Linked DNA regions of Oryctolagus cuniculus. The protein of the gene in region 1 purifies or fractionates together with the protein of each later gene. This does not show direct contact. Links are inferred from orthologs where the notes say so. Each region holds a gene or a part of one and is shown on either strand. Other genes may lie near its edges.

What was found.
Region 2: the proteins of ITGA6 (region 1) and CD151 purify together in Homo sapiens (co-immunoprecipitation; 3 studies listed by BioGRID and IntAct, with this or other methods). This does not show direct contact. The link is inferred for Oryctolagus cuniculus from reciprocal best matches to the Homo sapiens genes ITGA6 and CD151.

Annotation. Positions count from the first base shown.
Region 1 is NC_091434.1:68,625,696-68,631,297, reverse strand, and holds part of ITGA6 (integrin alpha-6), read left to right. Parts: intron 1-57; coding exon 58-251; intron 252-391; coding exon 392-480; intron 481-1,332; coding exon 1,333-1,451; intron 1,452-5,559; coding exon 5,560-5,602. UniProt on the Homo sapiens protein: Integrin alpha-6/beta-1 (ITGA6:ITGB1) is a receptor for laminin on platelets. Integrin alpha-6/beta-1 (ITGA6:ITGB1) is present in oocytes and is involved in sperm-egg fusion.
Region 2 is NC_091432.1:347,611-353,937, reverse strand, and holds CD151 (CD151 antigen), read right to left. Parts: upstream 4,225-6,327; 5' UTR 4,071-4,224; intron 3,170-4,070; 5' UTR 3,114-3,169; intron 2,361-3,113; exon of another isoform or gene 2,328-2,360; 5' UTR 2,321-2,327; coding exon 2,237-2,320; intron 2,158-2,236; coding exon 1,966-2,157; intron 1,886-1,965; coding exon 1,811-1,885; intron 1,692-1,810; coding exon 1,587-1,691; intron 1,511-1,586; coding exon 1,352-1,510; intron 1,247-1,351; coding exon 1,160-1,246; intron 1,088-1,159; coding exon 1,028-1,087; 3' UTR 466-1,027; downstream 1-465. Other genes in the region: CRACR2B (EF-hand calcium-binding domain-containing protein 4A), read right to left, coding at 4,848-5,013, 5,092-5,163, 5,286-5,452, 5,584-5,676, 5,809-5,899, 6,000-6,146. UniProt on the Homo sapiens protein: Structural component of specialized membrane microdomains known as tetraspanin-enriched microdomains (TERMs), which act as platforms for receptor clustering and signaling.

The DNA.
Region 1 (5,602 bases):
CTTAGCTTGCTGGCATTTCAGCTGATGGGTCTCTGTTCTCCCACATCCGTATTTTAGGTGGCAAGACATAGTGATTGGAGCCCCACAGTATTTTGATAGAGATGGAGAAGTTGGAGGTGCAGTGTATGTCTACATTAACCAGCAAGGCAGATGGAATAACGTCAAGCCAATTCGTCTTAACGGAACCAAAGATTCTATGTTCGGCATTGCGGTAAAAAATATTGGAGATATTAATCAAGATGGCTACCCAGGTAGATACAAGATGATGAAATGGTTATGATTTACAGATTGAAATTTTGGTTGTTATAATAATGAATGCTTTCCGGTGTCTTATTTTAAAGCATTGGAGTATTTTCAAAATGTAATGTTTATGAAAATGTGTTGTCAACAGACATTGCAGTTGGAGCGCCTTATGATGATATGGGAAAGGTTTTTATCTATCATGGGTCTGCAAGTGGAATAAATACCAAACCAACACAGGTAATCAAATAACCTGATTTCTACAGCTTGTCTCAGTTTTTAGCCTGTAATAGATATTTAGGTGGAAATGAGTTATCATACTGATTTTGTTTTATTCACAAGTCTACAAGTATGAATTTTGCCTTTTAAAAAGTGTATTACTGGAAGATAGCTCTAAAATAGATATATAATTGCAATGTCTTGCTTGTTTTAATTGTAAAATTTCTTTGGTAAGTTGGGAATCAAAGTCATTCAAACACAAGACTGCCCTCGTCTGACAGTATAAAGACATGGAAAAGGTGTGTATGGGTACTTCCAAAAGCTCATGGAAACACGAAATTAAACGATCACTCTGTTTTGGTGCATAAAAGCGCAGCCCTACTCATTTGAGGGCGAGGATGGAAAGTCCTGGAAGACTGTTGAGATGGGGTTGTACGAGCAGAGACCTCACGCACATCAGGTGTGCTCTCCATGATCTTTGGAAGTGCCCTCATCTTTCCCTCAGTAGCAAAGTAAGCAGAAGTGAAACTGGACAAGCACGTGGAGAATTCAGACCCCCACGTTTTTAAATTGCTTTTGAGAAAAGTGAGACTTGGGGACTAGAGAGGAGAGGTTTGATTAGAAATACCTTGGTTAATTTAATGCATTAAACTCATCAAAGAATGGCTCCTCTGTCCTTTGAGATACTGTGTAAATCGGGTGAAATAGAATGTCTGAAATGTTAGATCCTATGAGTACTTGTAATTTAATATAATTTAGCTACATGTGAACTCCTGAACGTCCATTCAGAAGAAAGTTGTGAGTCTTTCGGAGCATAGATGAGAAGTTCCTTTTGGTGTGCCCGTGCTCATCTGATGCACTGTTTTATTTCAGATTCTCGAGGGGACGACACCGTATTTTGGATATTCAATTGCTGGAGATATGGACCTTGATAGAAATTCCTATCCTGATGTTGCTGTTGGTTCCCTCTCGGATACTGTAACTATTTTCAGGTGTGTTATTTCAGACCTCAGTTAAGTATGTTCAGTTATCAGATTACCTTGACATTTTGACCTTTTGGATTGAAATTTGTAACATCTGCATTTCAAAGGCAAAGACTTACATGTGTTTGGAAGATATTTCATTTCTTTTGAGGGCAGTATAACAACATAGTAACACGTATGCTTTTTGACATTTTTATTTGCCTTCCTTTTTATTTGAGAGACAGAGAGATCCTCTGTTTGCTGGTTCACTTCCCAAATGCCTTCAACAGCTGGGGCTGGGCGAGGCAGAAGCCTCTGTGTGGGTCTCCCACACGGATGGCAGGGACTCAAGTACTTGAGCCATCATCATGTATGCTTCCCGGGGTGTGCGTTATGGGGAAGCTGGATTGAAAACAGAATAACCAGCACTTGAACCTCGTATGGGAAATGGGTATCCCAAGCAGTCATTTAAAAAAAAGCTGCTGTGTCACGTACAACTGCCGTGGTTGGTTTTCTCTTCACTGGCTTTATAGTCATTTCTTAAAGAATATGTTAAAGAAGCGGGCAGTAGCACAGTGAAACTGTTTTCCAGGTGTGCCTGTTAACACTCCTTGCCCTGTAGTCTTCCAGAATGGTGTCAGGTGTAGAGGTAGCCTCAGTATTTAAAATACCCTCACATCAACCCTGGGGCTTAGAAACCAGCCCCAGGACACTTCTGAAGAGAATATTACGTGATAGTAAATGACGAAAGTTGTTTTAGATATGAAAGCCATCCTGTATGAAAAACTGAGACACACAGAGGAAGCTACAGATGGCAAAATTAGGAGATATGAAAATCACAGGGAAGAGTGTATTTGAGATGCTACTGACAGTGTCCGGGGAACCACCAAAGCTGAGTAAACCAAAGTGCATGGACCCGTGTGTCTGTGATTTGGAGAGGAAGGAGCTTGGGGAAGCAGGGATGCATCCTCGTGCTCCTGGTGACGTCCTCCCCGAGTGCTGTGAGCCTCTCAACCTCCTGAGCCCTTGTAGCAGGCTGTTGCTGTGCTGTGTGTGCTTCTGGGCTAAGGCATCCAACAGTGGGCTGTCCGGTGTTCTGAGACACTGTCTTTAGATGCATGTTTCTCTGCTGATGCAGTTATCAACCTTAAAGTAGTTCAACAATTTTAAAAGGTGGAAGAATATATAACAATCAGCTATTTTAGCAAGAACGTCAATCAAAAAACAATGTGAAAAAAAATTTTGAAGGTGTAGTTCTAGTTTGATGGTTAGTTCAACTATTAACAAAACTTGACTTCTTATACCAAAATCTGGTTACCAAGTTTTCAACACCAACAGATGAGAGACTGACCTTTTTTTTTTTTTTTTTTTAAGATTTATTTTATTTATTTGAAAGGCAGAGTTAGAGACAGGGAGAAGGGAGAGAGAGAGAGAGCTATTTCCTGTCCACCAGTTCCCTCCCCATATGGCTGCAACAGCCAGGACTGGGCCAGGCTGGAGCCAGGAGCCTAGAACTCCATCTCCCACGTGTGCAGCAGGGGCCCAAGCACTAGGGCCATCCTCTACTGCTTTCCCAGACACATTAGCAGGGAGCTGGATCAGACTTGGAGCAGCTGGAATATGAACTGGCCCCTATGTGGGATGCCAATGTTGCTAGTGGTGGCTTAACCCACTATGCCCCTATGACCTACCTTTCATCAGTTAAATATTTGCCTGTGTCCATGTGTAATTGATATTTTGATAGTCTTGTTGCCATGTGTAATTGATATTTTGATAGTCTGTTGATAGTACTTTAATTTCCTGTCGTCATAAGCGGGTGGACTGTGAACCCAGCAAACTTGTTCCTCCTTTCCTCATGGACCTTAGAAAAGTGAATTTCAATATCCTTTGATAGCGAGAGGCGTCTGAGCCTCCTTATTTCACAGCTGAGGAAGCTGTGGCCGGCCTCACTTGAGCTTTCAGGCTGGATTCTGTCGTCCTGGGCATTTCTCCCACGAAATCCTCCTAGGACTTAAGGACACTTAGTAGATATATACCAGGTAAACATGAGGCAGCCAAGCCAGTAAGATTTGCTTTATGTGTCGAGACACACTTTTCATGATTCACGTGTTCTGTGCCTTCACAATTGTGTGTGTTAAATAAGGTAGACAGGAATGGTATATTAAATGGAATTCATGACACGCATTAAAGCATTAATAAGATGACACATGAAACATTACATCTGGGGCAACTGATTGTAAAATACTTGGGAGAGCTGCAGTGGATTAGGCAATGGCCCGGGACTCCGGCATCCCATTTGAGTGCCAGTTCAAGTCCTGGCTACTCCACTTCTGATCCAGCTCCTGTTAACAAGCCTGGGAGGCAGCACACGGTAGTTCATGTACCTGAATTCCTACCTGCCACATGGGAGACCATAATGGAGTTCCTGGCTCCTGGCCTCAGCTTGGTCCAGCCCCAGCTGTTGAGGCCATTTGGGGAGTGAACCAGCAGATGGAAAATCTCTGTCTCTCTGCCTTAATAAAAATAAATAAATGGGTTTTTTTATTTTTAAGAAGAGGGTACTTGTGAATGTTTGCCTTTTAAATATGTGCATGCTCTCAAAACTTTAGCGTGTACAAAGGATCTTCAAAATGTTCATGTAAACTGCTTATGAAAAAACTGTGCATGAATTTCAAGATTTCTTGCCTGAAAAATACACTTGAAAATGTCCATGAACTTTGGAAGGAAACTTGTATGTAGTTAATATCTTTGAAAGTGGCATCTGTCTAAATATAAAACAAAAGTAGAGAGGTAAACAGTGGAGCTAGAGAGCACGCAGAAACCTGCCCTTTATCATGAAGGGGCTTGTGCCCACTAGCCCACCAACAGATTGATTCCACAAGTTTGAGCTGACTGTTTGGGATTTGGAGTGCATTTTCCTACAAAAGCATGGTTCTCTGGTATGGTTGGGCTTCCCACAAGCCCCCCAGTGTCAGCCTAACTGACTGCGCATGGTAGTGGAATCCTAGAGCCCGTTCTGAATTCCGACCTGGGAGTGCTGGAGGGGAGAGCTGAGGCAGCACCTCCCAGCCCTCCCCCAGCTCCCATCCACAGGCTTGCGGAGGTCAGGCCGGTGGCCCCTGCCAGCCCTTTGCAGAAGCCGGGGAGAATTCTCCAGGGAGAGAAGAGGTGTTCTCACAGAGTAAGCGGGCTAAGGGTGTGAGACTCCTGCTGGTTAAGTGTTTGCAGGGTTGGGGTAGGCAGAGCACAGAGGGGACAAGGGTAAGGGATGCGAGTTCTTGTTATAGACACTATGAGGATGGGTCAGTTCTGGCAGCAGGGGGACAGGGGCTTATGGCTGGGAGAAGGGAGATTTGCAGGAACCATCCACATTGCTGATAATCACCCTGACAGCAGCCCAGGCAACTGGTGTGTTTTGGTGTAAGTCTTTCGGGGTGTAGTTTGGCAAGATCACTCTAATTAAAAATGTACACATTCTTTGGCTCAGAAATTGTGCTAGAAATCTGTCCTACAGGCAGTGTGTACATACATATACATCGAGAGAGAGTTTTCAGACGAGCAGAAAGCCTAGTGTCAATGTCTACTGATTAGGTGCTGGTTAAATAAAGGATGTGCCATTGCTACAAGGCAACACCACCAGGTGCAAAAGACACTAGATCTGTGTGCATAGATAGGAGGTGACCTCTGAAATATTAATGAGAAAAAAGCAGTTTTCAGAACAATAAGCATATAAACAGCTCCCATGTAGTTGGCGTTATGTGTGTATTTCAGTATTTGATTTTAGGGAATAGTTTTAGCAGAAACACAGTCTGGAAGAACATACAAGGCTAGTGGGGGTTTTGGGTGGAAATGGAGACATAGTATGTTCTCTGAAACATGTGTTCCATAGGTGACTCAAATCTGTTTATAAATTATTAAACACAGTATAGTTTTAAATAAATATTGTGTAAGTGGCATACGCATCTATGTATCCACAGTTCCTGGCTTCAGCCACAGTGGAGGGGGCGGGGCAGCAGCACAGGAGCAGCTCTTTCCCCCACCCTGTGGCTTTGAAGCTGTCCGGGGCAGCCACGGATGCCTGTGAGTGAATCTCTAGGTAACAAAAGGCTGAGCTGCCTTTTCACTCCTTTGTCTTCAGATCCCGGCCTGTGATTAATATTCAGAAAACCCTCACAGTGACT
Region 2 (6,327 bases), on another chromosome or scaffold:
GGTCAGCGGCTGCCCTTGCCTGGGTCCCCACCCTGTGGCCCTGTCGGGGTCGCACCAGCCCTGAGCGCCCTCAGGCTCCCGGGGGCCCTTCCCGGGCTGTCCCTGCGGGCCCAGGCTGAGGGCCAGGGAGCAGCTACTCCCAGCAACCCACACGGGGCCGAGCCCGCGGTCAGCTGGGGACGGGGACCAGGGCAGAGCAGGGCCATGGTGGCCGAGCCACTGCTGTCCCCAGGGTGTTGGCCGCATCGCAGAGCTGTCCCCGGCTCCTGGCAGGACCTGCAGGCCCCTCGTCTGCTCACTGCCTGTGCCACAGTGACCACAGTGGGCCCAGGGCCAGCTGGAGACGCCAGCACCCCTACGCTCAGGCGGAGCCCCTCACACCGGCCCCCAGCGGTGCCCCCGCCCAGCCTGCGAGCCGGGTCCACCCCTGCTAGCCTGCGCGTGCCTGAGGCAGGAGCTTCACTGTCCACTCCACGCACTTTATTAAGCCCGTCACGTGACAGACTGGGGTGCAGCAGGCCCCCGGCCCCACACAGGGACCTCCTGGGGGAGGGGGCAGAGGAGGGGGCTTGGGCTGGGCAGGCGCACTCCAGACCCAACACAGGCGTCCAAGGGTCCCCCAAGACTGTGGGAGGGGGCGCTGCTGGAGCCGCCCCCCCCCCCCCCCCGCAGAAAGCTGTACAGTGAAAGGCACTTGGCCGCCTCTGGGTGTGAGAGGCTGGCACGGGTGGGGGCAGAGGCGTGGCTTCCTCAGGGTCAGTAGTCTCCACTCCGCAGTGGGGTGCCGGAGCCCAGGCCCCCCAAGCAGAAAGCTGAGCAGCGAAAGGCACTGGGGTGTGGTGGGGGTCCGGGGCGTGGCTTCCTGTGGGTCAGTAGTGGGTGGCAGGGAGCCCAAGCCCCCAGACAGCCGAGCAGTGACGGGGCGTGGCCGGCGCGGTGGGGGTCCGGGTATGGGTGTGACGGGGGCGTGGCTTCCTCCGGCGTCAGTAGTGTCCACTCAGCAGCGAGGCGGGGAGGCCAGGCCCCCTCAGTAGTGCTCCAGCTTCAGGCTCCGGTACAGGCAGCAAGTGAAGAACATGCCGAAGACCTGCGGAGCCGGGCTGTGAGCGGGCGCCAGGGCCGCGGCCGCGTCCCCCACCACGGCCCGGCAGGCCCGCACCTGCACACACGCGATGCCCACGCCCACCGCGCCGATGACCCGCAGGTGCTCCTGGATGAAGGTCTCCAGCTTGGTGATGCAGCCGCCCTGGGGGTGGGGACAGGTGCTAGGGGCGGGGCCGGGGCCGGAGCCCCGCCCACCTCCACCTGGCAGACGGGGCGTGGTCCCGCTCGGCAATCCGGGCCCGCCTACCTCCACCTTGTAGATGTTGGAGGCGTGGTCCCGCTGCCCGCAGTTGGGCACCACGGTCTTGCAGCAGCTGTCAGGGACCACGCGGTCCCCGGCCTCGCTCGAGCGGATCCACTCGCTCTCCCGCCAGTCCCGCGAGCTGTTGCTGCCGCAGCAGTGGAACTGCAGGGCCGAGAGCAGGGTCGGCTGAGCCGCCACGCCCGCCCCGGCCACCAGGCCCCCCCTGGGCCCCACCCACCTCCTGCTGCAGCTTGTCCACCGCGCTGGTCACTCCCTCGTGGCCTGGCTGCCGGTACTGCCTGGTCATGGTGCCCTTGAGGTTCTCCTTCAGCTCTGCGTTCAGCTGGGGGGGGCAGCTCTTCCAGGTCAGGCGGGGGGGCGGGGGCGGGGCCGGACGCCTGCCCCCCGCCCCCCCAGGCCCGCTGTGAGCCGCGGCGCTGCCTTGCCCCCCCCAGCCCTCACCTGCTGGTAGTAGACGTAGGCCAGGATGCCCGCGATGATCTCCAGCAGGAAGATGAGCAGCAGCAAGAGGAAGTACTAGGGGACAGACACCCCCGTTCTGGGCGGACCCCACGGGCGCAGCCCCCCACCCCACCCCCAGGGGCCCCACCGCTGACCAGGCGCAGCAGGTTCCTCCGCTCCTTGAAGGTGGCGCAGCAGCCAAGCACGCCAGTAACCATGACCACGACGCCGGCCACCACCAGGATGTAGGCTGTGGCCAGGTACGTGCTGGAGGCCAGCAGGCTGATGTAGTCACTCTTGAGGGCCAGCGTCCAGACCCCCACGGCCATGACGGCCAGGCCGGCCAGCTGCGGACAGCGTGCCGGGTCAGGCCGGGCCGGGGCCGGGCGCGGGGGGCGGGTGGCGCGGGCAGCCCCCCCTGCTCACCCAGAAGCAGCAGTTGTAGGTGAAGAGCAGGTACTTGAGGCAGACGGTGCCACACGTGGCCTTCTTCTCGCTGAACTCGCCCATCCTGGGGCTGGCGGGGGAGGTCGGAGGCCCGGGCACACGCCTGGCCGGGGGACCCGGAGATGCCCGGGCGCAGGGGGCAGACAGGACATGAGTCACTTCCCAGGGAGAAGGGCTCAGGAGCCCAGGACCCGGCAAGGGCTCCTGCTGACTCACTCCTGCCCGCGGCCCCACCGCGGGCTGCAGGCCCAGGACAGGGGCCCGCAGAGGCACCCCAGGGGCGGGGGACAGGGCTCTGCCCACCCTCACCGAGGCGCAGGAGCTGGAGGGTCAGCAGAAGGGCAGGTGTTCCCCCCCCGTGGGGGGGCACTGGGAGAGGCCTGCGGGCGCAGACTGGGGCTGGGGGGCACTGGGAGAGGCCTGCGGGTGCAGACTGGGGCTGGGGGGCACTGGGAGAGGCCTGCGGGCGCAGACTGGGGCTGGGGGGCACTGGGAGAGGCCTGCGGGTGCAGACTGGGGCTGGGGGGCACTGGGAGAGGCCTGCGGGCGCAGACTGGGGCTGGGGGGGCACTGGGAGAGGCCTGCGGGCGCAGACTGGGGCTGGGGGGGCACCGGGAGAGGCCTGCGGGCGCAGACTGGGGCTTGGGGGGCGCAGACTGGGGCTGGGGGGCACTGGGAGAGGCCTGCGGGCGCAGACTGGGGCTGGGGGGCACTGGGAGAGGCCTGCGGGCGCAGACTGGGGCTGGGGGGGCACCGGGAGAGGCCTGCGGGCGCAGACTGGGGCTGGCGCCCGGGGCCAGGTTTGCAGACGGGCAGCCCAGCTGCACTTTCACCTCCTGCCCCGCCCAGCACTCACCTGCGGCGGGAACAACGTCTCTGGGACAGGTGGGCGGAAGTTCCCAAGAAGCTGGGCTGCAGGGCAGGTAACAGGTTACTGGCCTGGCTCCTGCGGACAGGCAGAACCCTGCCCCAGCCTCCTAGCCACCAAGGCCGTGGCCAGGGCCCCCGGGAAAACTGGCCAGCAGTGGCCAGGCCCGGTATTTTTGTCTGGACAAGGGTGGGGCAGAAAAGGCATTCGGACAGTCCGATCCTGGGAGGGGCTTCGCCCCACCCATGCCCTCCGCCCACGAAAGAGCAGCTAGCGGGGCACAACCCCCCAAGTTCCACCCACGCCGCTGGGGAACTCAGACTCCCCGCATCAACTCCCGGGGCCACGCACAGCTGTGCCCCTGGGGCTGACTCAGAGGCCCCAGGCTTTGTGAGGCTACTGGGGTTGGACCGGATCCCCGCCACCCGGCCAGGCAGGGCGGCCCCTCCAGGGACGGCTGGTGGCCGTGAGCCCCCGGGGACAGGAGCGTGGGAGCCTGGGTGGCCAGAAATAGATACAGCGGCCGCGCGCAGAGCCGTCCCGGGCCTCTCCCGCGCCCCAGTGCGGGGGCTCCGGGGCTCCGCAGCTGGCGGGTTCGGGCGCAGTCTGCGGTGAGGTCACCGCTGGGGCCGGGGCCCGCCCATATGCACAGGGCAGGGGTGGGCCTGCGGGCGGAGGGAAGGGGCCGGGGTCGGAGACACTGCGTGGGGCGCTCGGGCTGGGAGTTTCAGGGCTCCGCGCACGGCGGGGACGCCCGCCAGTCCCAGGGTTCGGGAGGCGCCTCCCCCACCCCGACCGCCTGGCGCCGGGCTCCCCCGGAAGGGCCTGCGGCCGCGTCCGGCGGGCGTAGCCTCCCGCGCGCAAACGCCGGGCCCCGCGACCAGGCGCGCAGGGGCTGCGGGCCATCGGCTTCGCTCGTTCGGCCCGGCTCGGCCGCGCACTCACCGGCCACGCGTCGGAGTCGGCCCGGGCTGCGGCGCTGCGGGGGCGGCGGTTCCAGCGGAGAATGCGCGGCAGGGGCCGCTGGCGAGACGCCCCGCCCCCGACACGAGCTGCGGCCACGCCCGCGGCGCCGGGCCCCGCCCCCTGGACGGGGCCACGCCCGCGGCCCGCAGACAGCGCCAGGCAGGTCTGAGCCGGCTTCGCGAAGTGCGGGCCTCGGCGGAGGGAAGCGGGGCTGCGGAGGGGCTGGAAAGGAGGCAGAGACCACCGCGCGGAGGTCCCCGACAGCGGCGAGATCCGGCGGCCTCCCCGCGTCGGCAGAACCGAGGCCGGCCCGGGGCGGGGGAGGGTGAGGGGGCTTCGCGCCGGTGCGTCTGGGCCCCCACCCCCGGGGGTCTGTCAGTCTGTCAGTTCGGTTGGCAGGGCTGCGTGCCGGGAAACGCACTCGGGGTTGGCTGGTGAGCGTGGGAACCTCCACTGGCCGCCAGGTCCCACGGAAGGGACGGTGAGGGCTCGGGTGACGACCCACGGCCGGAAGCCCCCCGCCCCGCACCAGGGCCACGTGCCCCGCACAGGTACCGCGCACTTGCACGACGCCGAGGACGAGGCAGTGCAGTCCCTGGACTTTATTTGGCAGTTTTTATGATTTTTCCCCGCTGGACACCGATGCGGACAGGAGGAAGACGCCCCACTGCCCCCCAACCCCTACTCGGCCCCTGCGCCCGCAGGGCTTCAAGGCGCGCCCTGTCCCGCTAACGCCCTGTGCGTGGCTCGGGCCGGTCAGCGTGCACTGGGAAGGTGGCCGGAGCCACGTCTGGGGGGACGAGTCCAGCCGCCCAGCGTGGGCCCGGGCGGGCAGGCGGTGGCCGGGGCCTTCCTGCGGCCGGGGCCCAGCAGCCGGGCCTCACAGGCGTCCCTCGCGTCGCGGAGCCGCGTGTTCAGCTCCCTGGGGAAGGCAGAAGGCGAGGTCGGAGGGGTCCCTGCCCTCCCGGAGGGGCCGGGGCTGCGTGGCGCCCGCCCGCACCTGAGCAGCTCCAGCTGCCGCAGCAGGCTGCGTTTCTCCTTCTGCATGTTCCTGGACACCGCGACCACGTCTCTGCGGGCGGGGAGGGGCGGCCTGGATGCGGCGGACCGCTGGGGAGACCCCTCCCCTGCCCCGCAGGCCCTGGGGGGTGGAAGTGGCCCGGGCCGGGGCCGCGCCTGCCCCGCCCGCCGCACCTCTGCGTTTGCTCCTGGCGACCCCGCGCGTCGCCCTCCAGCCTGCGAAGCTGCTCCTGCGCCCCCTCGAGCTGCGCCCGCAGCGCCTCGTGGGCGCGCCACAGCTGGGCGTTCTGGGCCTGCGCCTCCAGCTGCTCCGCGACGCGGGCCTGCAACTGCTGCTCCAGCTGCGGGTGTCGGGGGCGGAGGCTGGCGAGGAAGGCCCGCCGCTTCCCGGGGAGCCGCGCCCGCCCGTTCCGGGGCCCGGGACCTCGGCAGGGCCAGGAGCGCTGGGGAGGGGCGAGGGCTGCGCGCTCACCTCCCGCTGCCGCAGCCCCGCGCGCTCCAGCTCCTGCTCGCAGCTCTGCAGCTCCACCTCCAGGCGGCCCCTCCACTCCTCCCGCGGCGGGTTCTGGAACGCGCGGGCACCTGAGCCTCCGCTGGCCACGTGGTGCGCGGTGGGCGGGGCGGGGCGGGGCGACGCGGGAAGCCCAGCAGGTGTGTCGGGGACCCGGGGGGGGGGGGGGACGGGGCGCGCGCCCACCTGCGTGCGAAGGCGCTGGCGCTGCTGGCGAAGCTGCTGCTCCAGCTCCTCGTACAGACAGCGCACCTCCCTCTCGTGCTCTCTTTCCCGCCTTCGGGGTCGGGCCGGACAGCAGATGAGAACCTGCGGGCGCTGCGGCCCCCGCGCCCGGCTGCTCCCGGGAGCCCCTCCGCCCGGCTCCCAGCCCTCACCGCCGCAGCGCCTGCTCCAGGCCGTCGCGCTCCCGGGCCGCCTCCTCCAGGCAGGCAGTCGCACTCATCAGCACGTCCTCGAAAGAGCCCAGCAGCTCCGGCCGCTCGCGCTGCAGCCTGGCCCAGAGCCCGCGCACAGCGCGCTGCCTAGAGGGAGCGGGTGGGGACAGGAGCTGGAGCGCCGAGTGCCACTGGCCAGCCCCACCCTCCCCTGCGCCCAGGACGGCGAAGGCGCGCGCGGGGCTCCCCACTGGCCAGCCCCACCCTCCCCTGCGCCCAGGACGGCGAAGGCGCGTGTGCCGTGCGCGGGGCTCCCCTCCCGCGGGTG